Arabidopsis thaliana: one gene and its partners. The protein of the gene in region 3 interacts with the protein of the main gene of each other region in a pairwise test. Each region holds a gene or a part of one and is shown on either strand. Other genes may lie near its edges. The genes, in order: KNAT2, KNAT6, BLH1 and HSL1.

Region 1 (7,622 bases), on a different chromosome or scaffold from region 3:
CCAAAAACCGATCCGAAAAATCCGGCTCCGAAACCGAGCCAAATAGTCACAAAATTCGAATGGATAATGAATTCTTCTACCCGAATGGATAATGAAAATAAATTATTTAGTTGACACATCAGCTATCTAAGTAAGGTTCAATACAAATAAGAAATCTATCAATTTGGATGATTGGAAGATTAGTGACATAATATTGCCACTATTTCCAATACAATGTCTCGTTACGCCCTTGACCGTTTTGGCTAACGGGTTCCATTCATTCGCGATGATGCCCCATTTACCAAAAGCTTTTTACTGTTTTCTTTTCTTGGAAAAACAGTGTAAAAATTATACAATGCACAATTTCATGTCTCTCTTTTCATTACTCGGTAAAGAATGTTTCATTAGAATCGTCCATCATATCAAACGGCATGTTCTCCGAAGGCTTCCAATGGCGTTTCCTTTGGTTTATAAACCAATTGTTGATTTGTTTTTGATCCAAACCTGTTTCTTCAGCCAGAGATATTTTGTCGCCTTCCTATACACATTCGAGAGGCGGATATTAATATGTCGAAGAAATAAATTAATGAGTGTATGCTAGGTTACGGTGGAATCAGAAAGACACTTACAGTAGGGTAAGGCCATTTATTATGAACATTCCACCAATCGAGCAACGCTTGTCTTGCTTCTCTTGGTAGCTTCCCTTTCTTCTTCTTTTTAGAGAACTCGAGTTTCAATGAACTGATATGGCTACCAAATTTGCGTAGTAGCTGGTCCTTCAGATCGCGGTCATTGCTTCTTTGTTGGCTGTCATCCGCTGCTATGTCATCATCTTCTCTCAGTTCCTCGTCAGATGAAACCGCACCATCATCTGCTCATACATGAGAATAATGTCATACAGAAGATTCAATAATGATTAGCTCCCACGTATTAGCCAAATACGTGCCATACCGATAAAATGTACTAGGAGAATGTATGGTGGTGCTATTTATGGTAGCATATTTGACAATGTAGAAAGCAAATTCTACCACTATGCCAACACTAACAAACATAGCTAACACTAAGATACTAGTAGGCTCGGCTAAATGACTAAGTGGCTAAAGCAGCTAAAAGAAGAAAAGAGCCAAAAAAGCATAGAGAAGAGAACAAGGGTGAAAGAAAGGAAAAAAAAAAAAAAAAAAGGGTGAAAGAAAGGGGTAAAAGGGGAAAAACAAGGATAGCGAGATAATATCGAGGTTTTACAAGACCCGGGCACAAAAATGATCAGTCAAAAACTTTCGCAGTCACTGAATAGTTTAGCTTCCATTGCCACTGACGTGCTCCTTTGGGACTTACCACTAGCCACCTGAGTCACGACACGTATCACCTTTCTGACACTTGTTTGAGTGACCCCCGGAAAAAACGCTTCCCCAACATTTATGAACTTTCTCATAATGCCCCATTTATGACCATACCATACTGACCCCTATGTTACTGCGACTAAAAGGGAGCCTAATTAAGGGAGTTTAAACATGATTAATGGTCAAATTATTTGCATTAATAGAAATTTCACTTAGTATTCTCAACTTAGTGATTACAGAAAGACATCGTTTCAAAGTCTCCCTAAAGAGTTTAGGTTGTAGTTTGCTACACCACTAATGAGCTGATCCTTAGACAAATCACACAAAATATAGTTCACACCCTATCCATGAAAACTTTGCTAGTTGAGGATGGTATGTGCAATAGTAACTCGGTTTGTTCTTTACCTATTAGCCGAATTTGGTTCCTATATAACATCAAGACAATGCGAAAGAGACAACATGCACTGATAAAAAAAAAGTAGATAGACTTGTACATCTCCCAAAAAAAGTTAAACACGTGGAAATTGCATGGCCCATTAAGGGAACAAACGCAGAGAGGAAATGACAACCACTAAGCAACAGTAGAAAAAGATGTGGAGAAACATTAGTCGTAAGATGATTGCATTGTACATAAATCAAAACCCATGTCTCTCCCCTATTTTCTTCTCTTTCTTTTTCTTTAAAATCAAATCAAATCTTAAAAAGAGAGTGTTGCGATTGGGTCATAAAGGGATCCACCAACGTAATCCACGGGAGTCCATGTGACACTTGACCACCTCATGCTTCTGTCTCCAACTTCTTCTATTTAGAAATTAAAAAGGGCTAAAAGATTTCTAATTCAAGCATTTGGGTGTGTTTTTTTGTGCGTGTCAAAAGGACCATTCTATCAACGAAGGTGATATAACCAAACAGATTATCAGTATTATCATGTCTAGAACTGGTGAAGTAACTAATGTGCCATGACAGAGTATTTTGTTCAAAAGAACATGCTTTTCGAGTTTCCTACGAACATTGAATGAATAGAATATCATTCACAGCCAAAGATATATCTAGGGTGAATGCATAGGGACCTAGGGTGAATGCATTTTACAACACAAAAATACTAGTTGTAGACTGTAGTGAATAATCTTAAACAATAGTCCTAAATTCCACATATGGATACAAAATCGCACATGGATCTCATTGTATCAATACACCATCCGAACACCAAATGATTAGAAGAAAATATGAGGATGGAACAAAAACCATGGCCAAGATTGACCATCTTAATCACGAAAAGGGTCAATTGCACACTAAAGCGAGAACGAAAAAAATAAGTAAACACAATTGCTATGACAAACATCAGTTGACTAAAGAGGATTTGGTTTATTCCTAAAGCATATTAGCACGAAAAGAAACCAAAAGCACATGACTCTGAAAACTACATATTATGAGTTATACTATTAGTTTAAGATATTCAGTTGAAAAGAAAGTCCTTTCTCGGGACTTAAGAAACAGAAAAAGGTATTGACCAAGGAAAAGATGTTCATAAGGTAATATATATTCCTTCAAAATCATACATGAGATTACGCTAAAAAGGTAAGTGGTACTTCAAAACCATTAAAAAACTAAACATTCGTCCAATAAAGATAAATTCAAGCTGCAAGTGATCTGTTTTTCAACCTTTTGGACAAGATTATTCCCTATGTAAACTCCAATTAATTAAGTACGCTGATAAGTATTAACAACTTTTCGGAATTAAACAATGCTAACAAAGTACAACCGAAGCAGCATTTGATATCAACATATAAGAAAAAGAAGACTATTAAAGCTGAATTCCACTATATTGTAGTTCCAATTTTTTTCCAGCTAGTTCTTATCAGGTGGAGATGAAGAAGTAAAATGATTACTTTAAAATCCCTAAGATAGTGAAATACTTTACTTATAAAAAATATACACACGTATTCTGACAACATGAACGTGGCTAAGTAGATTAGTGTAGATTAACAAGAAACTAATTTTTGCCCTGTTGGAAAGGTTTAACCAATATAAGCTACAAAAACAACACAAAGACAACTAAAATTACATTCTTTTAAGAAACCTACTATTCCTTATTTGGGCTGCTTGTAAAATACTTACAAAGTTCTATTCTGCTTAATTAAGAAAACAAATGGTGGAAAAGAAGGTACCATTAAGTTTAGTTTAATACCTCGGCAAATTAGTAAACCTCACTTACATTGTGTAAGTGTCTTAATGCATTTCAATCATTTATTTATTCACATAAAATTCCAACAAGAATACAAGAATAACAGACACATTAACCACGACATGCAGAATATACAAGCCTCTTGGCCATCAAGCATTTTTATGGACTTACATGCGCATGAGCTCAGATTAACTGAAATCCAACAGAGATTTGGTTTAGCTTTTTCGAGCTAAAGAAACACAAAATCCAACTATTTGACCTGATCAAGACACTTCTTTGGTTTACTAAGTCAGATAGGTTCGTGAAAATTAATCACACCAATGATTTTGTACATGTAATTTGAACACAGTGGACTTCAAATGTAAGACCCTTAGGTGCAAATACAATGTATTCAAAAATAAGGGCTAGTGTCATTAATTTTCACATACACTAAGAAAACAAATCAATCTTATGTTATACTCATTATACACAATAAATTTTTATCTCTCTAATAGTAAAAACTAAAGTGACATGGATAAAACTTAAGTCTGACACTTTCTATGGAAAAGTAGTATAAACTTTGGTTCATTCACCAAGAGAAGTTGGAGTAATCAAGAACTAGTAAAGTTTTGTTTTACCCATCAGTCTCTTAATGAAGATGAAAACAAGCGATACTACTAGAGATCTAAACATGAAGCCAAGGACAAACTCAAGAAAAATCAGTGGCATTTATTAGTGGAAGTTATGACTAGGTTTTTTCTCTATGATTGAATTTTCACTGGAAATAAGCAATTAAAAAACTTCCAGTACGACACTGAAACGTCAAAATCAGAATCTCTAGCGCAAAAGTTTTTGCTTTCATAGACCCATATTTTCTTCTGACAGAGGAGAAGATAATAATACAAGTATATATAAAAGTAACAAAAGAAAAGTATACCATACCAAAATCACTAGGAAAATAAATATCACTAACAGAGAAAATCCTACCCACCGGCTTTCCCCTAATATCCGCCCCACAGCTTAAACCATAGCTAATGATAGAAAATAAATGTCACAAAGATGTGTGAAGGTCATGGATCTATCTAAAGCATGAATGACTTCTACCAAATATAAAAGATGTGGCTGAATCAATCATTGTTTTCTAACAAAACTAGGGTTTTAGAGTTTCCTTGTTTTTTTCTGACTTTTATTGCCTTGGGTTGTCTAAACCGGATCTACTAAGCTCCTCCTAGTTTCAGCTACAACAACTTATCGATTCTCGTTTTCTTTAAGGAAAAAAAAAACAGTAGAAGATTTCCAATTTTTCCATCAATTCCAAGAAACTGATCATTGAAGCACAGAAAGGAAAAGTTATCTGAGGATAGATTTTCTAATCCGCAAGATCTGTAACTGTAAGGAGAAATTTGCGCAAGGATTTTAAAGGACACACAAACCGAGGATAGTGCTCAAAGATCAATAAAAACACTAGCTAGGAAACAAGAAATCAAAAGTACACTCGAACAAGAGATAGATATCACTTTAGTGCTGACCTGAAAGAGCTGTAGCAGACGCTGGACCAGTGCACAAGTTCTGAAGCTGCATTTCAATCTTGTTTATGAAAGTTGTAGCCTCGTCGAACGGCCTCGCAAGATCGGTTTTGTATTTAACCAATATATCACAGTAGGTTTCCTAGAATCACACCACAAAAAAACAAAATTATATTTTAAGAAAAACTAGAAGATCAAAGTTCAAGGCAACGAACAAAGTGAGAAACCATGAATTCATCAAGCTCAGGATCAGCTCCAAAGCAAGATAATGGAGCAACATCTCTCTTGTACACATGGTTCTCTCGCTGAATCTCTTCCAATATACACGCTATTTCCATAGGCGCTCCCACCTGTCAATCAATAACCAAAAAAAAAAAAAAATCACTCTCACATATAAACACAGTCTCTCTAGTTCTCCAATCTTATCTTAGGGTTAAAGTGGAATAGAAAAAAAAAAGTAAGAGAACTATCTTTAAATACGACGATGAATACATGTAAAATTCCTGACGCTTAATCAAATTAACCTTGAAAGCACAAAATCATACACAACAAGAAAAAGAAAAGACAAAACACGAAAGCAGCGAGATCACCTTTTGGCAATCGATGTAGGTTTGGAGTAAGCGAGGATACAAAGGATGAGAAGCGATTTTGGATTTGATGACACTAAGAGAGAAATTATCCTCAGCTTTTCGAATACGCGGAAGCAACTCCGAGGACAAAGCGGTAGCGAGTTCGTCGGATCCAAACAGTCTTTGATTGTCTCCGGTGGTTGAACAAATCAAAGACTGATAATCGGACGGCATCATCAACGTCGCTTTCTCCGAATAGTCTTCCGTCGAGCGGAAACCACACATTCTATCCATTAATGTGATCGTAGTGAGATACGATCAGTGATCGCCGCTTCTTCGATCCCTAGCCTTGTGCTTGCTTCTGAAGAATATGAAGAAACACAAAAGTAAGAAGTAACAAACTGCTTCAAAGAGAGAGAGAGATAGAGACAATGGAAATAGATAGACTGGCCAAGTTGAGGCGGTCTCGTAGTATAGTAGTCTGAGGGCAATGATCGTAAATATTTCAGCAAAAAACCAAAAAAAAAAAAAAATGATTTGTGACGAAAAGCAAAAAAAAAAAAAAATCACGAATATGAATTTTCATAGTTTATTATGATAATTTACAAGTTTTTCTTAAAGACACCATAATTTTTATTTTATTTTGTCGTACTAGTATAAAAGAAGAAAGATTTCAAGGGTTTGCCATATGTGTTAAGGAATACGATTCGAGTGATTATAAAAAGATTTCTTCGTGATTCAAGAGCACTTTTTTTAACTGTACGATTACATGGTTACGATTATTTTTGATATATAATATTATCGCACAAATGATCAAAATAGCACGCTAACCTTTAGAATTTATGACTTAGCTAATGAAGACAACAATTAGTACTTGTTAACAAAAACAGGTTAGACGATGGTAATTTGAATTTTGACAGTAAAAACAAATGATGGTAATTTTGTTAATTAATAAGCTTTTTGTTTCAATTACGGTGGCCGACACCTACTAGGCTACTACGATTCTAGTTGTCTAACCGGATCGGTTCAACTTCAATTTCACTCTTTCAATTTTCACCTAGTTTTGTTTCTCTGTAAAACACGTCTATGGTAGCTAGGTGCTCATTATCAATCACAACATAGTAAACAATTTTTGTTTTTTAATTGCTTTCAGTCATTTGCTAATTAAACACACTCTTAGGAACTATTTTTTATAGTGGCCACTCCACTTATCGCACTTCTTGTTATTTTCATAGAGAATCTGTTAGTCGCGTATAATATCAACTCAAAATGTTTCATTACCTTATATAGTAACAGAACCTGCAGTTTTTGTCATAAACCAAAATCCATCTATAAACCCTGTTGTAAGAAAAAAAACTATATTTTTGCATGGGTCTACTCCAGACCCGATCCGATGATCCATATCGTTTTTTCCGCAAAAAAAAATAAAAACAAATGTCATAAAGGTCTTTTTGATGATGGACAGGTTTGATTGACACATCCGTCGGACTACTTTGGTGTGAAATTTAACTGACATAAAGCTTTGTTTTAGTATCAAACCTTATAAAAACGACAGAACTTTCCTTCTCTCTCATTTCACTTCGTTGGATCGTATCGTATTGAATCCCCACCGGTGGCCTTCACAGCACATATTTATATTGTTTCTAAACTTTTCTGTATTTTTTGGGGGGGGTCACAAGTTTCTATAATCTATATGATCACTATCGTCGAGAAATGATTGCAAAAAAAAAATGTGTGTCTTGCAGAAAAAATAATAATAACAAAAAGTGACGACTAAATTATTAGATCAAGTGCATATAATTATGTTGCTAAGATAATATTGTACCACTCGAATGTTTCATCATGGATTGTTCATACTGTTCCCGTGATTTAGTGTTGTTAGGTTTCAATTCTTTGTATTGAGGTTTTTGTTAATATATTATTGTACCACTCGGTTGCTTCAACTTTGTAGGAGTTTATTGTCATTCTTTTTTGTATCTCATATCATCAATATGTGGTTTTGAACAAATTTGTTTCTGTTGTTAGAAATGTTACTGAAATTGGA
Region 2 (7,552 bases), on a different chromosome or scaffold from region 3:
GTTCGTTCGAGCATTTTACTACCGTTCTCCGTCGCGATCGGGAATTTACCGGGTGCTTTCCGGTGAAAGTCACAGGAGAGACGATACCGAGTAGAGCCGCCATTTTTTGGCCGTTGGTTCACACGATCATGTTGTTTTGTTCCGATTACTCGGATTGGATAAAAGTCTGGTTTCAGTTTAATATTGGGCCGATTTTAGGCCCAATAAGGATAATTTGAAACCCACCCCAAAATTTAAACAGAGATGGTTGGATTATGGGCACAAGGTTCCAATTGCTAGATAGCTAAACTTTTGGCTACAATTAGCAAAATGTACATGATGATTAAACTGTCAATAAAAGAATGTGTTTAATTTAGTGTGATTTACACAAATAACAAGATATTTTATAATTATTTTTGAAAAACACATAGTTAATAAACAAATCTAACCTATCTAAGTATTTTGTTTGTTCAACGTTTTGCCAATAAGAGGGTAAAAGCTATATCACGAGAGGTCCGGAGAAGACAAAAGAGGTTATTTTTATTCACCGATAATAATAGTTACAAAGCATTTTGACTTGTTCCTTCTACTACATGTGAGTGAGTGTAAGATCCATTTCATGTGTCGTCCATGCTTCACTCTTTCTTTCTTTTTTTCCTTTGTCGGCAAAGCAAGGCAGAATTATACATCCATCTTTTAATCAACGTTAAATAAGTACCATAAATAAATTCATTCCTCGGTAAAGAATGATCCACTAGAATCATCCATCATAGCGAAAGGCATATTCTCTGATGGCTTCCAATGACGTTTCCTTTGGTTTATAAACCAATTGTTGATTTGTTTTTGGTCTAACCCCGTTGCATCAGCTAATGCTATCTTATCTCCTTCCTGTGTACACACACATTCATACCACCCATTTATATATAAGTGTAGTGGTTAGTTATGTCGGAAAACATGCAAGTGTTGCTTTTGCTTACAGTAGGGTAAGGCCACTTATAATGGAGATTCCACCAATCAAGAAGAGCTTGTCTTGCTTCTCTTGGTAACTTTCCTTTCTTCTTCTTCTTTGAGAACTCAAGCTTTAAAGTACTAATACGGCTTCCAAATTTGCGTAGCAACCTATCTTTGAGGTCCCGGTCTTCACATCTTTGTCTCCCATCCTCTGCTACCTCATGATCACCTCCACTCAGTTCCTCGTCAGATGATATTACACCATCCTCTGTTACACCAAATTCACAAGAATTATCACTATACAAAGACATCAAAGACAGAGAATGGTTATAGGTTATAGCAAGTAAATGTAACAGAATTATCACTATTCACTACCATGAAAAAGTTTAAATGGGCTTTCTCGGCTAAAACGGCTAAGTGGCTAAAGAGGGCAAAAAAGGGAAAGAAGAAAGAGTGGTAAGGGGTAGAGAATATCGAGGACGCACACGATTGAGTGCAGCAGTCAAAAAACCGCCGCAGTGAATAGTTACCTCCATTGTCATTTGTCAGGAGAGGACTAATAGTCTTGTCCCCATGAGGAGACATCCCCCCTTAGGCCTACTAATTACCCAATCTCAATATGACACGTGTAAATACCATTTAGAGGTTGTGTGAACCCCCGGAAATAACGCTACACCTCTCATTTATGTTCTCCACGATACCCCAAAACTCAATTTCCTTTTCTCTCTCTCTTTCTTTAATGTATTTGGACATTTATATATATGCCCCAACGACTCTACTGACCCACTTACCCAGCTTCTCTGACACCAAAACTCAACCCAAAGACGATTCAAGAACATTACCTGATTTTACAATAGTTTTGCCTATGTGACAGAATATATAGTCGGACCAAGCAACCGTGCTTAGTCAAAATATTTAGTCAGTCACACAAAATACTGGACTACATAATATATACACGCAATTTCAGTCAGTTTATAAACATATATTAAAAAAAGTTAAAAGATTTCTACAACAGCCAAGGTAATTTCAGTCAATTTATAATTCACGCAATTCAGTCAGTTTTATAAACATATTATAAAAGTTAAAAGATTTCTACAGCAGCCACAGTAATTATGAAGGAAATAGAGATGTTAAATAGGCCAATAAAAATATACTAAAATGCATAAAACATGAACTGATCATATATTATAGAGACCATTACGTTCACATTACACACATATGAGTAGTTAGGGTAACAGTTTAATGGCAAAAAACGATAGTTTGTATGGTTGGGATTATTATTTACATTTTCAGCAATGCATTGACTGCTTTGAAAATAGGGTTCACTGAAGAAGGTAACATGCAAGTAGACACGTGCTAGTAGCGTGCCTCAGAGAGACATAATACGACCCACCAAGGGAACAACGCAACCAGAGGGCATGGCAAAAGAGTTGAGAAAGATAGAGAAGAAGCATAGTCGCAGTCTTATAGATGATTTGATTGTGGTGTGTAGAGAACCCTATGTCTCCTTTTTTTTTTAATAACCAAATCAAAAATAAAATCTTAGGAGAGAAAGTTGGTGGGGTCATTAGCGGAATCCACGGGAGTCCATGTGACTTTTCCACCTTTTACTTTATAACAAAAACCAAAAGAACCTCTAATTCAAGCTAATCATGCACTATGTTCCTATTCTTCTCGTTGCAGTATTCTTATCTTCTAGATCAAATATGCAAACATGTAACATTGATGATATTGCATGCAACAAGACAAATGTTGACTATAAAAGTCAATAAGAGACCATCCACTCTAAGTAGCAAGATAACCACGCATTAGAAGAAAAGAATGTGTTGCTTTTTTAGCTAGTCCAAAGAAGGGCTTTCGCTAAGTTGCATTACCGTATCACAACAACCAAGAAGTGAGAAATCAAAAGTCTATGTGATCAACTTGTATTACTAAATCAGATCAACATGAAAGAAACCAAGCATGTGATTGAACTGAGAAACTAGTAGATAACATCGCATCCCATGTGAATATTGTCTAACAATTGTAAGCTTCTTTTTTCTTTATTAGTTTATGATTTCATTCAGGTGAAAGAAAAAGATGGTTAAATAAAGCACACAACCAAAGAAAAAAAAAACAGATGAGATCATTCAAAAAGGCAAGTTGTACTTTGAACAAATTTTAAAATTATTAATCATAAACATTCGTCCATTATGGAAAACCTGCATCGATCTATTTTCAACTTTTCCAGTTGATACTCTATGCTAACTCTCGATTAGTTTATAAAGATAAGCTGATATGTTTTTATATATCAGCAGCTTTTTTCCCCCAATAAACAATATTACCAAAGTACAAGTGGAACCTGCATTTGAGATCGACCACGATAATGGAAAACTCCTGCAAAGCTGAAAAAAAGTCTACCAATCTATGGAGTTTCATTTCTTTACAGCTAACTCTTTCAGCTGGAGTTTTTCTTCTATTTTATTGTATTAAAAAAAAAACTCCTAAGGATCAGTATTTCTAGCTAACCTGATCGGTTGATTTGTTATGGCCACAATGTTTTTGCTAGTTGTAGTACAATATGTGGTCTAAAGAGATAATATCAGTAAACCACAAAGAAAGTCACTTATTTGAAGCATTTCATTCATGTATAAGCATAAAACCTAGACTTTTAAATCGCTTCAAAATTGAGTCAGTTTTGGTTTATTACTTACATATAAGTCCAACAAGACTCCAACAAGAACATGCAGATAAGAGTGGCCACTTGGCAATGATACTATTTCCGATGATCAACAAAAATCTCCCTACTCTTGTTCTCAGATCATTGAAACTTGAAATAGACCAAAGTTACGTTCTTCATAATAAATGTCGAATTCAGGATTAAATTTTTATTTCACAAAGAATGTCGTTTTGTAGACTTCTATATTAAATTTAAAATACAATTTTAACTTTATTGTTTTAACCTATTTAATTAGATAGAAAAATTATATGGTGTGTTATTAAGATATAACAGAAATTTAATCGTAAAATTATCTAAACACGCTTATTAATTCCGATCCAGAGAATCTGTGAATGAGCTTAAAGAGGAATTACAGCTAATAACTCTTATGGCTTATTGGTTATTAATAATCATCTGACCAAAAGAAGTTGAAGTCTTAGAAAAACTGGTAACCTAATAAGGTTGTTACCCATAAACAAGAGTGAAGCGACTTATGAGTTATGACTAGTACTTATACTTACTTATTGTTAAACGAGAAGTGAAGCAAAAGAAGCTCATGAAAAATCAACTACACATATTGTTAAAAAGTTATGACTAGGTTTTTCTGTCAATTGGTTTTTCACTAGAAAAAAGCAACAAGTTGAAAAAACATTCAGTACGCAACAAGCCTCTGAAACGTCAAAATCAGAATCTCTACCACAAAAGTTTATTGCTTTCTACACCATTTTCTTTCTGACAGAGAAAGAAGAGAAAAAGATATAAAGTAAAATTTGTATGATTAGCACAAAGATCAACAACAAGAAGAAGAGGAAATCCCCACCACACTCCAACACCCTAATCCCATGGCTAAAACATTAAATGAACGAGTAAAATAATTGCACAACACCTTAAACAGATCTTTGTCTCCAGAGTTTCAACGTGCCCAAAAGAAAAGCACACACAAAACAAAACCCATCAAGGGAAAAATAGCTATGGAAATGAAACTTGTAGCTAGGGTTTATCTTCTTTTTTTTCATTTTTTATCTATTTTGCTTTCTGATCACTTCAAAAGCCTAGGGTTATTCTATCAACAAGCTACCAATCATTTTTCAGAAACTGGTCATATGAATCAAAACCCTATGGAAATATCGAGGAAAGGATATTATTAATGAAAAACCACGGAAAAGATCAAAAGAAATCATTCAGAACTAACCACAAAATAGAACCACTAAAAGACCGAACCAGAGAGGGATAATTTAAGACATACCAGAAACTCCCCTGGCAGACTCGACACCAGTACATAGGTTCCGTAGCTGCATCTCAATCTTGTTCAAGAAACACGTTGCCTCGTCAAACGGTCTTGCTAGATCCGATTTGTATTTCACTAATATATCGCAGTACGTTTCCTGATAATAAATTATCTTCTTAAGTACAAAAATTTCCAAAAAAAAATATTTTAACAAAAATAAAAATCCGAAAAAAAATCGAGGGAAAAAAAGAGAGAGACCATAAATTCATCAAGCTCAGGATCAGCTCCAAAGCAAGAAGAAGGAACAACCTCTTGCTTATAAACATCACTCTCCCGTTGAATCTCCTCTAGTAAACACGCTATCTCCGGTGGTGCTCCGACCTGTTTCTAAATTATGAAATTGTTAAACCATAAAATTATAAAAAAAACAATCAAATATCAAAGCTTCTCAATCTTATCTTTATCTTTAAAAAGTAAAACCTAGATTTTATCTAAGTGATAAAAAAAGAAAGAGTTAACGATCACCTTTTGGCAATCGATGTAAGCTTGAAGTAAGCGAGGATACGAAGGATGACAAGCGATTTTAGCTTTGATGACAGTTAGAGAAACGTTATCATCATTTCTTCGGATCTCCGGAGCGATCGAAGCCGCCTCCGACGACAAAGCGGAGACGGCTACTGAGAGTAGCTCGTCGGATCCGAAAACATCAGAGACACGATTTTCACCGGCGGAGGAACATAGCAAAGCTTGGTAATCGGAAGGAAACATGAGACTCTCCGGTGACATCATCAGAACCGACTTATCTGAATAATCACCGGCCGAATGGAAATTGTACATTCCATCCATAAGTATAAGATCTCCGGTAAGAACTCCTCCGTCTTCTAAATCGCTTTCTTGAATTGTCTTCTTGCAAAATCAAGAATCGATGAAGAAGAATAATATGAAACCGCTTATAACAAACTTTTTGGTTCTTGAAAATATTTATTTCTATGGGAGTGTGTAGAGAGAGAGAGAGGCTCGAGGGATCTTAATTTATTTTCTTTTGGAAGAAAAAAGATATGAAAGTTAACGGAGAAGAAAAATAAAATGATAATTACGAAAAAGGACATATGCTAAAAGGCTCAATGGAGCTTCAGGCTTCATAGGTCGAGATAAGGCCTTCCTAACATATATATCTAAGAAAGGTCCAAGGCTGTGTTATGATAGAATTTGCATGATCATGAGATTTTTAATATCAATGAAACATGGCGAGAAACAAAATTATATATTATTGAAAACGAAATGGAAAAAACGGAAAAAGTGTGATTATTTACCAGCATACTATGTCAGTTTATTTGAACTCTTTTTTTTCTCATCGACAATACACTTAGATGGTAACATAACTACTAGTACATATAACCACTAAACTACACGCAACTTATTTGAAAGCTCTGTGTAATTTTCTTTTCAAAAAGTATAGTTGATGACTTGATGTATATATTATAGGACCTATAGAAACAAATTGAGCATCTAACATAATGATTTGTATCAGTATCGGCATTGTATCGTTATCTTCATTCAAATATGATAATATGCATGTGTGAGCTGTAGACAGTTAAAAAAATAATCCCCAATGTATATATATTTTCGAAAAACTTTGTAGAAAATATATTTTTATTATGATCCTAAGAACATATATAGATACACCTACATAAATCGTTTATTTGATTGCAAATAGTGAAACAAGGTGAAAATGTTAAACAACAAGTGGAAAACCGAACAGAAGAAAGAAAACAAATGAAGTCGCATATCAGAAGATAATATAGTACTAATGATATTGAATCGAGTCAATTAGAAATAGATATTAGTTCAGTATATGAGAGATGTTTTGGGTATGTTGAATCGAATATATCAAACTGGAAAAACAAGAACTGGTTACAAACAACTAGTGAGCTGATACATACATATATATAGTTAAAGAGCGGTATTATTTTAATACTTGTCACTGTAAATTTGTTGCTAGATACAGAACAAAATTATCGAACACGACTACTAACAAAATGATAATCAACACATATATATTCAAATGATGGTATGAAATAAATCAAATGTGAAGAATATATGGATATGATAAGTGATTCTTAGTACCTACTACGTAGTAAGAAATTTTTTACCAACTCGGATGTTGGACACTTCGATTGTACGGGATGAAATGGGTTTCGAGAAGCGAAGGTCCGTTCCTAGATAGTAGATAAGAAGGCCCTAATGGAAAATCGTCTAATTAAGATTAAATTAGTATATAGTATCAGCTAGTGTTTACTTTAGAATAGTTCTGTATAAAGCAAGTTTGTGGATAAAACTAAGAATAAAATAAACGCTGGTCTAGGCGTATAGGAGCTGCAAAATCAATGGTCTTAGCTAATTTATGATTTATGAAATTTATGCCAAAATTGATGATGCTGATATTCATGATGACTTTAGCTTATGAAAATGAACTATGTAATTTATTCACAAAAATAGACATAAGCATAATTTGGTATATTTAATGATTTTACATATGTATTAAGTTTGAAATTATGAAATTGGCCGTAATTTAAAGAGAGTATCAAGAAAAAAACGAGCACTTTAACCAAAAAGAAAATAGAACGAGAGCATCTATAATATTTCGAATGGAACTATTCTTTTAGTTTTGTCGACAGCTTTTTACGTCTATCATA
Region 3 (6,161 bases):
GCTATGGATGATTTATTTTACATAACTGGTAGTTTGTTTATGTGGACGGTAAACGATTCAAAAAGATAAGCAAATTTGTCCACATATGTTTTTGTTGTTCTACATACAAATTATAATTATCTATATCGTATAAATAAAATAAATACAAGTTACTAAAAAAGACTTTCTCATGAACTTAAACACTCTTTGCAATTAATCAACTAAAATTATCTACTATATTTCTAATTATATTTTAAATAAAATACTTTTAGTCAAATACCCTTTAAAAATAGACATACGTGGTAAACTAAAAGAATATATGAAATAAAGAAATAAAAGTAAATATACATTTAACGGGACCCACTCTTTCCCCATCATGCTTCATTATCATTATCGTTATCATCTTCTTTCTTCCTCTCTCCTCTCTTTCTCAATAATTTAGATTTTTGTGTGATTAAATATTTTAGGTTTCTGCAGAAGGAGACGTTTCCTCGTTTTTGTGCTGTTTGGATCTTCTGACACAATTCACTTTTCCGTATAAGTTTTCAATTTCTCTAATCCCATTATGTATATTTAAAATATTATACTCTTAACCTATTTGAGTGTTTGGAAGAAAAATATAAACTAACGGTAGGACTTTCAAAAATGAAATCTATTCATTTTCTAGAATAAAGTGTTGATGCGTTTTAAGTTTTTATGTGTATGTGGTAATATAAAACTTTGTAAATAAAGTATCTTAGTTAATCTGCTGAGGAAAATAATGAAATGAAATTAAAGAAAAAAACAGTTGAAAAAAGAAAAAATGAAAAGAACTTGGTAACGTAAACATTACTAATTTTATTACTTATAAATCATAATCAGTTCAAAGTTCGTTGCCATCCTCAGTGTACACTCTGAACTTGCTAGATGATAAAAGTCTGCAAGAATAGTAATCCGAAGAATACTTTATGTTCAGGATTGTAGTTATATCAATAAAGAAAGATTTGGATTGAGATGCGTGTGGGATTTCTTTTTATTAAATAAATACAAATATAATGTTTTAAAAGAAAATGATATGATTCTAAATTGGACACGACATACATATCACTATGTCTTGATGTGATAACATTTACTTCATCTATGAAATTATATCGTCTATAAATAACTAAATAAAGGGTGTTTGGTTGTTATGATATGTGGGTTCATTACCTGGTCAATACATGAAAAGGCCAAAGTCATATCATACAAGTTCCTCTGTTTTTCAAGTATACCAATTCTAAATTTATAATAAGATACGTATCACATATATATTACCAAATAATGTATACATATGTCTATGAAGTTGAAATATTTCGAATTTAATATTATCTCTTGTACTGGATGTCAAACTAGAATTTCAACAACAAACAATTATATGCACATTTTCTCACTTAGTTTTATGAATTTTAGCTCCCTATGATATATATGTACTTTGTAACTTATTTATCACCATGCTATATAGTGATAATAACATGAAGTAAAGGTTTTTTGAACATGCAGTATGAAAGAATGCTATGTCTTTTTCTTAATTTATTCATTAATCTTTTTCTATTTAAAAAAACTGTTGAACCAATTGCTCTAGAGTACACTAATTTAAATGATTACATAAAGCTATATCTAAGTGTAGAGTTTAATATCAATTTTGAAAACAAATTCCAACATGGTTGGAATGTCTATTTAGCATATTAAATTAAAAAGATAAGTAATATTAGCTGGTGGTGAACGTAAACACACACACACACACAAATTGTTTTGCGGATACAAGTATATATCAATATATGAATGTAAAATTAAGTTACATTAGTGAATATTTCATGTCCTAAACATTGGTTATTGTCCCATTTAACAAAAAATCCACTTTGGTTATAAGATATACCGACCACAACACTAAAATAAAATAAAATAGAAAGAAAGTGATGAAAAATGGTGGCGTACTAAGGACTGTGGGAAGATTAATGAGTGAAGGAAAAGATGGGTATCTTTTATCTCTCCTTTCTTTATCCTCTCTCTCTTTCAATATATATTAGTCATTTTTATTTTGTTATATATTATTTCTCAGCTTTTTAAATGTATTTTATATTTCCCCTTTGAGCAAGAAAAGAGTTGCAGAGATCTTTGAGTCTGACACAGAGACCAAACTCACATAGCAATCACACACATCTCCACAAACACAGGTATGCATATAAATATATATATATAAGTGTATATTCGTGTGTATGTGTGTGTGTCTGTCTCTCTCTCTTTCTCTTTGATAGAAATTCTCTAATGTAACTTTCCTTTTGCAGCTTGAGATGATCATGAAACACGTGCATCCTCAGATCTCTATCAATCCAGGTTCTTCATCTTTTATAATATTCATTTTTTCTTTCAATTTCTAACTCTATTATTTTATTATTTTATTTTCAATCATGATTATGTCTTAATTTCCATATCCTTCAATCTCTCTTTCTCATAATCCATAATTCATCCCTTCTTCTTCGTCTTCTTGATGTGATCACGATTCTTTTTTTCTTCGCTTCAACTGTATATATATACAGATCTATATTAAACTTATAGTGGTTTTGTTTTTGCTCCTTTTTCATACTTTTGTTTGTTTTTCTATGATATCAATCAGCTTGGTGAAAGAAGGTCAAGAATTGAAAGAGAATCAAAGAAAACGACGTCGTTTCATTCGTGTGTAACAACTACTAATTATACATAGATGGCTGCTTACTTTCACGGAAACCCACCGGAGATCTCTGCCGGATCCGACGGTGGTCTTCAAACGTTGATCCTCATGAATCCAACTACTTACGTTCAGTACACCCAACAAGACAACGACTCGAACAACAACAACAACAGCAACAATAGCAACAACAACAACACAAACACAAACACAAACAACAACAACAGTAGTTTCGTTTTCCTCGATTCCCACGCGCCGCAGCCAAACGCGAGCCAGCAGTTCGTCGGAATACCACTCTCAGGTCACGAAGCTGCTTCCATTACAGCCGCCGACAACATCTCCGTACTTCACGGTTATCCTCCGCGCGTGCAGTACAGTCTCTACGGTAGCCACCAAGTGGATCCCACTCACCAGCAAGCCGCGTGTGAGACGCCACGCGCGCAGCAAGGCCTCTCTTTAACCCTCTCGTCTCAACAGCAGCAGCAACAGCAACATCATCAACAACACCAGCCTATTCACGTCGGATTCGGGTCCGGACATGGAGAAGATATCCGGGTCGGGTCTGGCTCTACAGGATCGGGGGTAACAAACGGTATAGCTAATCTTGTTAGCTCCAAGTACTTGAAGGCAGCACAAGAGCTTCTTGACGAAGTAGTCAACGCTGATTCCGATGACATGAACGCTAAATCCCAACTATTCTCATCGAAAAAGGGTAGTTGCGGAAATGATAAACCTGTCGGAGAATCATCGGCCGGCGCTGGAGGAGAAGGTTCCGGTGGCGGAGCAGAAGCAGCCGGGAAACGTCCGGTGGAGCTAGGCACGGCAGAGAGACAAGAAATACAGATGAAGAAAGCAAAACTTAGTAACATGCTTCATGAGGTAACAACAATACGTATTATATACAATAAGCCTACATATACTGAGTGCTCTCTTATATCACACATGAAGTGGACTTAAAAGTTCTGTCCCTAAGATTTTCAGTCATTTTCACAATTCATTTTATATGTATATTAAGCTATCCTTTTTTTTTTTTGCTCTTCCGATTTCTCAAATTGACAACTTACAAGATTGATGAAATCTTTTTTTTTTTGTCCCTCTCTTAGTAAAGACTAACAACTTTTATAGATTATATTTATGTAGACCGTACACTTATGTTCATAAGACTCACGTTACTTTGTTGGTTGAAAAATGAAAAGGTGGAGCAGAGATATAGACAGTACCACCAGCAGATGCAGATGGTGATCTCTTCGTTCGAGCAAGCGGCAGGGATAGGATCAGCGAAGTCATACACGTCGCTAGCATTGAAAACCATATCAAGACAGTTCCGTTGCTTGAAAGAGGCGATCGCTGGTCAGATAAAAGCGGCCAACAAGAGTCTTGGGGAGGAAGATTCAGTGTCTGGTGTTGGGAGGTTTGAGGGGTCGAGGCTCAAGTTCGTGGACCACCACTTGAGACAGCAAAGAGCTCTTCAACAACTGGGAATGATTCAACATCCTTCCAATAATGCTTGGAGACCTCAACGTGGTCTCCCAGAACGAGCCGTCTCAGTTCTCCGTGCTTGGCTCTTCGAACACTTTCTTCATCCGTAAGTAACCCACTATACACACATGCACTACTTTTCATCACTGGAACACAAACTCAGTCTCTAAGTTGTCTTTCTTTTAATTAGATACCCTAAGGATTCGGACAAGCACATGCTAGCTAAGCAAACAGGACTCACTCGTAGCCAGGTACGTTTCAAAATGATTCTTTCTTGTGTTATTAGGTTACTTAAGAAAGCGTTTTTAAGTAAATTTATTTTCTTTAATTATTTAGGTGTCGAACTGGTTTATAAACGCGAGAGTTCGGTTATGGAAACCAATGGTGGAGGAGATGTACATGGAGGAAATGAAGGAGCAGGCAAAGAACATGGGATCCATGGAAAAGACTCCTTTGGATCAAAGCAACGAAGATTCTGCTTCAAAGTCAACAAGTAACCAAGAAAAGAGCCCAATGGCGGACACTAATTACCATATGAATCCCAATCACAACGGTGACCTAGAAGGCGTCACTGGAATGCAAGGAAGCCCCAAGAGACTAAGAACCAGCGACGAGACAATGATGCAGCCAATAAATGCGGATTTCAGCTCCAACGAGAAGCTCACGATGAAGATTCTAGAAGAACGGCAAGGGATAAGATCAGATGGTGGCTACCCTTTCATGGGTAATTTCGGGCAATACCAAATGGATGAGATGTCAAGATTTGATGTAGTCTCAGACCAGGAGCTCATGGCGCAAAGGTACTCAGGAAACAACAATGGCGTGTCCCTCACGTTAGGTTTACCTCATTGTGATAGCTTGTCGTCCACGCACCATCAGGGTTTCATGCAGACCCACCATGGGATTCCTATAGGGAGAAGAGTGAAAATAGGAGAAACAGAGGAATATGGACCCGCCACCATCAATGGTGGTAGCTCGACCACAACCGCACATTCATCAGCGGCAGCTGCCGCGGCTTACAATGGGATGAACATACAGAACCAGAAGAGATATGTGGCTCAGTTATTGCCCGACTTCGTTGCATAAACCCATCTCTCTAGAAGGAGAAACCGAAACAGGTTATTATATACGTTTCTAGTTTTTAATTAGTATATAGTTTCTCATACCATTGAACCAAAACAAAGAACAAAATTTAATTTTAGTCTTTGGTTATATATGGCCGACGGTTGTATATCGATTTTGTAATTTTTTTTTTTCGTTTCTATTGGGGGATGGATAGGGTTATATATGTATATGGATTAGTTACGTGTAATAGCTTGCATTGGGTGTATACCAAAATATATTTTTACTTTTATTACAATGTAATAATTAATAAGATAGTGAACTGATCTATCAAATATGGAATGATGATTACAGATTAGATCTAAGCTGTATAGATTCCGAATATGACATGTATGCTTAAGCGGCTGGAAACTTATAATATTTTTTGAGGAGTGTTTATGTGTTAAAAGCATATTAAATAAAATTCTACACATTCACAATACAAATATAAAAAAAAACAAAGAAAGCAATCTCTGAAATAAGATCTTACGAACTGTTGAATTGAATTCAGATTTCAAACTTTGTGTATAGTTTTTTTTTTTAAATCAATTAAGATTAACGTTTATAAAACTTGTTATAAATTTTCTTTTCAAGATATATAAAAATGAAAATGTTCAAATCATTTTGTAGAATAGCGTCACCTGCTGAGAGATAAACTTACAATAACAGTAACAATTTTTTTTTTCTGTTATTAAAGACATTGACAGAATATTTATATGAAGACTGCGTGAGAGTGTGAGACTAATTTCGGAGAGGTTTGTAAGAAAAAAGTTTACAAAAACATATGCGAATATTTAATATATATTTTACTCATTTTCGGCCCATAACTTTTTTTGGGCCCAAATACCTTTCTATAGATATTAATAAATAATGAAATTTAGTGAAACACATGAAATATGTTGCGACTATCGGAGCCAAA
Region 4 (7,723 bases), on a different chromosome or scaffold from region 3:
TATCACCAAATCAAAATAATAGGATCTCGCGTAACCAATTTCTCTAATTTAAGTAAATCATAAATTTCATAAACAAACTTGAAAATAATAAAAATTATGTACAGGTTCGAATTTTGAAACTTAAGATTGCGATAGATAGGCGTACAAATTTGAAGCTCCACCTCCAGAACCGATTCTCTTCTTAGAAGCTTCATCCATTTCCATATTAGATATAACTATTAAGTTAGTGTCCTATGTATTTTCAAAAACCTCATCAAATCTATTTGTCTCTCTCTCTCAAGCCTCAACTCACCACACACCAAACCAAAACACCAGAAACAAAAAGAAAAGCAAACTACAAATTCCTCATTTCTTCGATCGACAATTGGTAGAATGGTCGTAACCACTCAACCAATTTGAGACGAAACCGAAGACATTTTTTGTGTAAATAAGAAACACATACCACTGAAGAATAAATACTCATGGAGAATTCCAAAGCTGTTTAGTTCACAGGATCATGAGCTCCATTTGTTGTGTCTTTCTCAGTTTCTTGTGCGGCTGAGGACGAACCGTGTTCTGTGCTGACCATATCACTGCTTTGCTGTTCTCCTGCTGTATTGGAAATAGCCTTTTGTTTCAGATATGCTTCCAGAGGAAACGCTGCAGCTTGGAGAAGCCTCATCATGCTTACTCGGGAAGCCCCCGGGTCTGAGTTCAAGTCGATGTTTTCCCCTGCGGCTAGTTCAACCGCTGGAATGCTCTCCACTTCTGTCTCGTCCCTGCACTCTGACTGTGACTGCGCCTGCTGGCTTGCCTGTCCTGCCTCTCCTTTGTTCCGCTTCCGCAGCATGAGCGTCCTGAATCGTCTCTTCACTGCCTCGCACACAGTGCAAGTGCATGACGGCTTGTGTTTGCCTTTTCCGCTCGGTGGTTGGCTGCAGACGATGCACGAACACCCTGCCCGGTGTCTTGGATGCTTGGTCGTGGCTGCAACCGTGATTTCCCCCTGTTCACCGGTTGTGGTGATGCCTGCATTTCCTAAACTATTCAGAGCAGATGCATCCTGCGACTGGTTTAGCTTTTCGTTTGATGATGCCAGTCTCCTCCTTTTGAACTCTGTTGAGACGAAAGTTTCGTTATGTAAAGAAGGAAGTTTCTAATTATACAGACCAATAATAGCTGCGGATTTTACCTTTGCTCTGCCGGACAAGTGTATCCTGTTCTCTTGGAGAGAGTTCATCAGGTGCGGAACATGAAGACCTGACGATATAAACAGCAACTCAAATTATTCAGATGGCCAGTCTCAGTGAGTCAAAAATCTATAATTATCCCATATGTGTAGTCTAAGTTATTTCGGAAAAAAATGCGCAATGTTCTGTGGTAACTAGCCTAGGTTAAACACATGAACATGCAACCTCGTTTACCTGCCAGGATCCAAGAGATTATCAGAGCACGACCACTTTGGTGGAAGAAGAATATCCACCGGCAGCTGTCGCCATTTCCCACAAGCATCACACTGCACCCATTGCTCTTGTTCCCTGAGAATTCATGGATCACATATCAGAACCAAATAATCAGATGTTCATTACTTCAAATCTTTCGATCATTCCAAGGGTGCTTAATTCTTCTGATCCTATCATTACATAGTACATGAGGCCTCACCCTGTTTGACGTGAGACAAAAAGGGTCCTCTTCCCGAAAACTGGTGGTTCCTGGGTAGCAGCAAATACATGATTTCAGAAAATACAGTGAAAAGTTCCCAGCTGTTTTTGATAACTAAACAGTTAACAGTAACTCACGTCATATTCTTCAAAATCTTGATTTTCCAGCGTAAAGATGCTGGGTTTGGTGGATTGGGGAGGCCGCAACAGCTCCTGTGCCTCCTCCCAAGTTATTTTCAGTTCCAGAACATCTACGCTATCAATGAGCAGACGCTTGCTCTTAGTCCCAATGTTCCGAACCCGTTTCCTAGCAGAAGTTAAGGACGACTGAAGAAATAAGTTATCCTTTGCCATGTCCTCAGACTTCTCTAGTTTAGACCAATTGATGTCACCACATCCCGGATTCAAGCTGTTGGAAAACATGTTCAGATTGGGTTCACTGCTTCCCTTGAACATCTGAAGAAACACGGAAAAATATTTCACTGAAAGAATCAGTACGAGAGCACCAGAAAAGGATTCTTTAATTCAATACACTTCACAGTGGCAGTTACTTATGCCTAAGGGGGCAACTCTCAGCTTATTATGCATTTACCTGTGTCGCTGTAGAGTTCGTCGCTTTACGGTATCCCATTACGAGTTTTCCTTCAGGTTCTGTACGGCTGAATGTTACTGCAGAGAACATGGAAAATCCAAGACATCAGACCTAATAGAAAAGTACGGTCATCTCTTCGTGGAATGTATTTCACTGTCCTCATGATTGGAACGCTTTAGTGCCAATGTTTCATTTATCCATACCAGGGTGGGTTTATCAATATGTTATGAATGTAGTTAACGAAACAAAAGGATTTGAAAAGTACCAGTGTCACCAGCTTGCAACTGCATGGACTGTATGCAAGGAGTCACACCCTCCAAAACGTACATCCTGCTGTTATTATTAGGCCAAAACCTGAACTGGAACACCCATTCTTTCCCTTTTATGTCTTGTATCTTTAACGGGAGACCCTCGGGTAGAGATATAGGGGGGAAATATGCCTACATAGAAGCATAGACGGTTATAGCTGATACCTGGCATTTAGATAGCAATAGTTTGGGAATATCAAATAAGCGTACAGAGAAACAAGTTACCTCTGCACATGCTTTCGGAAGAACCAGTCGACCAATACGACCCGCATCGCTCGCACTCAGAACTTTTTCAAAGAGTGGTATAATTTTGGAATTTGAGCTAGGAAAATAAACAGTCAAGGACTCCTTAGCACAGAAAAATAGTGCATAATGGTAGAATAAAAGCAGAAACACGATATTATAACATACAGATGAGGATACTGTCCAGATAATTGCAGCAGCTCTTGGTCAGTAATCCTAGGCCAGTAACGGGGAAGCAATTGGGTCTTCCCGCGACCTTCTGGAGGAGGCCGAGCGACATGAATCTGTGACACCAGGCTCCCACTAGGCTCCATGCCAGCAGCAATGGGAGCTGAATTTGCAGGTTTTGGAAGCAGCTGCCTGGACCGAGGGGCCAGTTGGAAAATCGAATTAGTCTTACTTCTGTCATCAACAGCAGCATCATGAAATGGGCTTGTCATAAGCGTAGGTCCAAGTGAAATGCTCAAGTTTGGCTGTGCAGACAATTCTTTCCTTTCAGTTTTGTGTCTAAGAGCATCTAGGCTGGAAGGAAGCAGCGATTCTTCTTGTTTCATTTGAAGAGAAGAATGAGTGGGGTCGATTCTTTGAAAGTGAAGCAAGTGCTTGAGATTTGTCCTCTCAAGAACACTGCCTACATGCTCTGCTGAAGCAAATGAGGGGAAGTCCTTACCGTTAGATTCATGGCTCACATTCATCTGTAAGAGAGATTACATGAGTATAGTGACAGAGAAACCAAGACCAAGGAAGCATCCCTTGCAAGAAGTTAACTCATGGAGAGGAAATTGTCTTACAGAAATTAGTCCGGATTTCTTGGCGCAACTTATACAGGTAACACCACCATTCTCTAGAAGCTCCATCATAAATCTAGAAGCAATGCATCCACAGTGAAGACGCTGAAAAAAACGTAAATACGTATTAAGGAAAACAATTGAAATACGTTGAGTGCAAAAACATGTGTAGTAAGCCATGGATTTTCGTCACCTTGTCACATGAATTACACTCTCTCCAACCAGATTCCTTGGCATGGAACACTTCACAGAATATGGATTGCTCGTATGCACACCTATCAAAAACCAACATTCACAGAGTTTACTAATAAGTAATCATGAAATATAGATTCCCTTCACGTACCCACTCTTGTTCTAATTGTAAGCAAACCCACAGCACTAATCTATCGCAGAAGTGTTGCGAATATCGAACTGGTCGCAAAAGTATTCAAATTAGACACAAGAGTGAAGGCCCTTACCCACACTTATCGCAGAGAGAAGCTAAATCACCGGATCGCATAGGCCAGCCTTTTTTCCACTCGCCCGACGTAGAGGCCGCTCCGCACAGTGCGTTCATGCAAACCTTTATTGACTCCATAATTGACCAATTGAGCGGCTCGATTCAACTGTCAATAACTTCAAATGAAGCAAGAGCCTTATCGTATTCTCCGCACGATGGTGCTTTAATCCACCGCAACTTTCCTCTTTAATAAAGGCACAAGCATTAAAAATATGCAATGATTAAGAAAACTAATTGGTATCAGAAAAGTTAAACACTTACCAGAAAAGGCAGAAGAAGATGTCAAATATATTGTCGAGAAACTCAATACGCTCCTTCTGTGAAAGACTATATACAAATAAAAACATATAAGATGACGATATATAGAAGAAGATACCAACTGTTATAAAGTAATCAAAATCCGTAAATGAATGAATAGTTAAGGACATTTGATATTGACATCTAAAGATAAGATATCATTGCATCCTAAGGAAAAAAAAACGAAATTAAAGTTCACAAGAGACAAAGAAAATCAACAGACCTTTCGAAGAAACTTGTCCAAAAAAGAGAAACCACGAGTCACTTCCATCTCCTCAGTTTTCAACCAAACCAATTCTAAGCTTAGACATGTCCACACGAAACTTCTCAGTGGTGCAGTGGAGATGGAGCCTCTTAAATAATTGTGCCACTGTGATAAAAACGCACCATCGAAAAGTTGACTGATGAATGTATGGAAGTCCAAGAAGTCTACAATAGTGATAATGAGAATAATATCTTGACTGTGAAAAAGGATGAATTGATTCTGTAGACAAAACTAAGTGCAAACCTTAAATAGTCAAATTATTCAATTGAACGGAAATGATCCATCACCTATCTGAGCTACAGTAGGCTAACAACGATTCCACTACCTAGGCACAATTTCAAGGAAGATATAATTCTTATTAAACCGCTAAATAATCCAAAAACTTGCGAGTCAGCAAGATCTAATCTGAGGATACACATAACTTTTAATGCTATTGAAAGAAGAATATAGACTTGAAGAAAAAAATGTAATAAGCAGCTACATTAAGTAAACAAGTAAACTAAATGTAATACCTTAACAGAGATGACAGAAATGTATGCAGGTTTGTCTCCAGTAACAGGAGAAGATATTTGGCTGCAATTGGAAAATACAAAAATTAGGTGAATAACATGACATATTTGGCTGCAATTGGAAATTCATAAAGAACCAAGGACGACACTTTCTTAAGAAGCAATAAAATGATATATAAATCGAACTAGTTTCATTCTTCTTCAAATCTTTCAACTTTGGTTGACCCAAAAAACCACTGATTTCCAAGTAAAGCTTATAACTTTGTAAAAACACTGATGTAAAGGTTCAATTTTTACAATCCTAATTCCGAAATCTACGGTCTTTGAACAAAAAAAAACATGCATAAATCACCAAGTTTCTGAACACTAATGGCCGAGCAAGTAAATTTATCAGAGCATAATCACCGGAGAGGGTTAACCCTTACCTTGGTTTGTGTGGAGAGAGAGCCGATTGATTCGATCGGAAGAGAAGGGATAGTTTTCGACGGAGAAGTGAAGTTAAAAACCAAGTCAAAGTCGTCTTTACGTCGACCAAGTGAAGAAGATTTGAGCCAATTCAATTGCAGCAACAAGAGGTAGTGGCAAAGAGATTTAGAAATAACGAAGGAGTTGATGAATTGGTTTCTAAATAAAGAAGAAGAAGCCACAATGACTTAGAGCGAAAATCTCCATTACCAACAACAACAAAGGGCTCGTGGAGAAGACAACAAATCTGGAGCGTTAGATTACAAAAAAAAAAAAAATGAAACACAAAGAAACTGCTGACGTCAGCCTGACCTAAAACCCAGTATGCTTTATTTATTTATTATGGATGAGAGAATAATGTAAAGTTTACTCAAAGTGTGACATTTTATGTAATAAGATATTAATTAAAGTGCACGCAAAAGGTCATCTCTGTTTCGACCTCACCTAAGGTTTGCTTCTAGATTTATATACGTCTAAATTAGTATTTTGATTTCGATAATAATATTATTTAGTAAAGCATTGAATTTGAGAATGATGAAGTGGCTTGGTTTCTAGGGTTATAAGACAGGAACCCACGACGACCATCACCAACACATCAGCAGATCAGCTACTAGGTCCAACTCCAACTCTTTATTTTTGTTGGTTCAACAATTTACTGCAAAAGACTTAAAAAAATGTAGCCCAAATAATCATGTCAGGATAATGGACCGAAGATTGGTTGATGGGCCGTTTTAGATCAAAAAAATCATTCCACCTTTGGAAAAGATCTCTTTAGCATATTACTTTAAGGTTTGTTGCAAATGAAAAATAGTTGGAAAATATTTTAGACCCTTAAAAGTCTTATCCGATAGGTAAAGTATTTAAATCAGTTCATGGGTTGAGTTTCATAATTGAAACTAGGCATAGATTGGCCCTTTCCTTTCTCTTTAATAAATACTCGATTCATCCCTTTCTACTGTCTGTCTCAATATCTGTACATACCATTCATTGTAGCAATCACTATACGTACATGTTAATGTCTATGAAGTATGAACAATAATAAGAATTGGGTAAGAGAGTTATATATGTTGTTGATAAACAACAGTGAATTCAAAACTATATAATTTAGAGAGGGTTTGTATATCCCTTTTTTTCCTCTGTATGAGTAATGTGAGAACCAATTATTCGTTTATAGATGAATAATAAATTATCTTTCTGTTTATCGTACCGAGTTACCTACCATATTGCTTAGACTGGAAATGCTTTGTTGGTAAAAAGACATGATTGGTTGAAAAATAGATAAAAGCATGAATGGGATTCAAAAACTAACGATAATTAGGAAACTGGATTACCATGGTTGGTAGGCTAAACCCTAGCTATTCTAATCGCTATTACATTCTCACCTACTTTGCATAGTCATTAAATTTGCATATCCACGAATTCGTACTAATAGTTTCGCAGAAAATACACATGCAATCTTATGAATATTGCTTGATTTATTTAAGAAACAAACTTGTATGCAATTATTGGTATATAAATCAGTTATAACCGAGCCATTTGTCAATATGACTTTGACACATGGGTAAGTCTAAACAACTAATTCATACTCTAGTTATCAATTGTCTCTTGTAAATAATTTAGTACGTATTTTTTTAGTTAGTCTTATAGATGAGTAAATCACCCTTTTTAAAATTATTAGATTTTCGGTTAAATGTTTTGGATTCTAAACTCAAAATTAATTAGCAATATGTGATGAAAACCCTTGTAGTTATGTAATTGCATGAAACAAAAATGATTTCAAATGTTATTCATATGTACTAGATCTTCAAACATTAACACATGAACTAACATTTTGGAATTACATCGATATTCATTTAATTGGATCCAAAAGGTTTCAACTTCTCGTTCTGTTATTAGTTTTTGTTTCCTCTTTTTTGTTTTCTATTTATTTTCACATGTTCTAGCTTCTTAATTCTAAGCTAACTTGAGTAGCCTAATAAACTTGTGTCACATGATGAGGACATTTCTCAAATGGAACATTCAGACATTTACACTCCCATACGTTGATATCATGTTATTTGCTATATTAGTCTAATATTGTTGCCTTTCAGATTTCACATATGAAATATTCCTTGTTG

Evidence for each region.
Region 1: the proteins of BLH1 (region 3) and KNAT2 interact in binary tests that used the Arabidopsis thaliana proteins (3 or more experiments, as listed by UniProt).
Region 2: the proteins of BLH1 (region 3) and KNAT6 interact in binary tests that used the Arabidopsis thaliana proteins (3 or more experiments, as listed by UniProt).
Region 4: the proteins of BLH1 (region 3) and HSL1 interact in binary tests that used the Arabidopsis thaliana proteins (3 or more experiments, as listed by UniProt).

The regions. Positions count from the first base shown.
Region 1 is NC_003070.9:26,574,885-26,582,506, reverse strand, and holds KNAT2 (homeobox knotted-like protein), read right to left. Parts: upstream 6,022-7,622; 5' UTR 5,873-6,021; coding exon 5,600-5,872; intron 5,360-5,599; coding exon 5,225-5,359; intron 5,152-5,224; coding exon 5,013-5,151; intron 851-5,012; coding exon 609-850; intron 518-608; coding exon 362-517; 3' UTR 76-361; downstream 1-75. UniProt on the Arabidopsis thaliana protein: May play a role in meristem function, and may be involved in maintaining cells in an undifferentiated, meristematic state. Probably binds to the DNA sequence 5'-TGAC-3'.
Region 2 is NC_003070.9:8,296,791-8,304,342, forward strand, and holds KNAT6 (homeobox protein knotted-1-like 6), read right to left. Parts: upstream 5,811-7,552; 5' UTR 5,703-5,810; coding exon 5,382-5,702; intron 5,244-5,381; coding exon 5,115-5,243; intron 5,014-5,114; coding exon 4,875-5,013; intron 1,199-4,874; coding exon 957-1,198; intron 868-956; coding exon 709-867; 3' UTR 501-708; downstream 1-500. Other genes in the region: MENG (S-adenosyl-L-methionine-dependent methyltransferases superfamily protein), read right to left, coding at 1-103. UniProt on the Arabidopsis thaliana protein: Plays a role in meristem function. Contributes to the shoot apical meristem (SAM) maintenance and organ separation by controlling boundary establishment in embryo in a CUC1, CUC2 and STM-dependent manner.
Region 3 is NC_003071.7:15,088,237-15,094,397, reverse strand, and holds BLH1 (BEL1-like homeodomain 1), read left to right. Parts: upstream 1-1,982; 5' UTR 1,983-2,171; intron 2,172-2,219; exon of another isoform or gene 2,220-2,282; 5' UTR 2,283-2,331; exon of another isoform or gene 2,332-2,611; 5' UTR 2,612-2,698; coding exon 2,699-3,541; exon of another isoform or gene 3,542-3,858; coding exon 3,859-4,247; intron 4,248-4,331; coding exon 4,332-4,392; intron 4,393-4,477; coding exon 4,478-5,227; 3' UTR 5,228-5,636; downstream 5,637-6,161.
Region 4 is NC_003075.7:15,477,656-15,485,378, reverse strand, and holds HSL1 (HSI2-like 1), read right to left. Parts: upstream 6,001-7,723; 5' UTR 5,567-6,000; intron 5,206-5,566; 5' UTR 5,145-5,205; intron 4,885-5,144; exon of another isoform or gene 4,738-4,884; 5' UTR 4,591-4,737; intron 4,398-4,590; 5' UTR 4,332-4,397; intron 4,255-4,331; 5' UTR 4,149-4,254; coding exon 4,030-4,148; intron 3,847-4,029; coding exon 3,765-3,846; intron 3,677-3,764; coding exon 3,575-3,676; intron 3,479-3,574; coding exon 2,952-3,478; intron 2,863-2,951; coding exon 2,766-2,862; intron 2,673-2,765; coding exon 2,498-2,672; intron 2,310-2,497; coding exon 2,233-2,309; intron 2,097-2,232; coding exon 1,779-2,096; intron 1,692-1,778; coding exon 1,642-1,691; intron 1,518-1,641; coding exon 1,404-1,517; intron 1,240-1,403; coding exon 1,172-1,239; intron 1,096-1,171; coding exon 482-1,095; 3' UTR 25-481; downstream 1-24. UniProt on the Arabidopsis thaliana protein: Transcriptional repressor of gene expression involved in embryonic pathways, such as LEC1, ABI3, and FUS3. Repressor of the sugar-inducible genes involved in the seed maturation program in seedlings.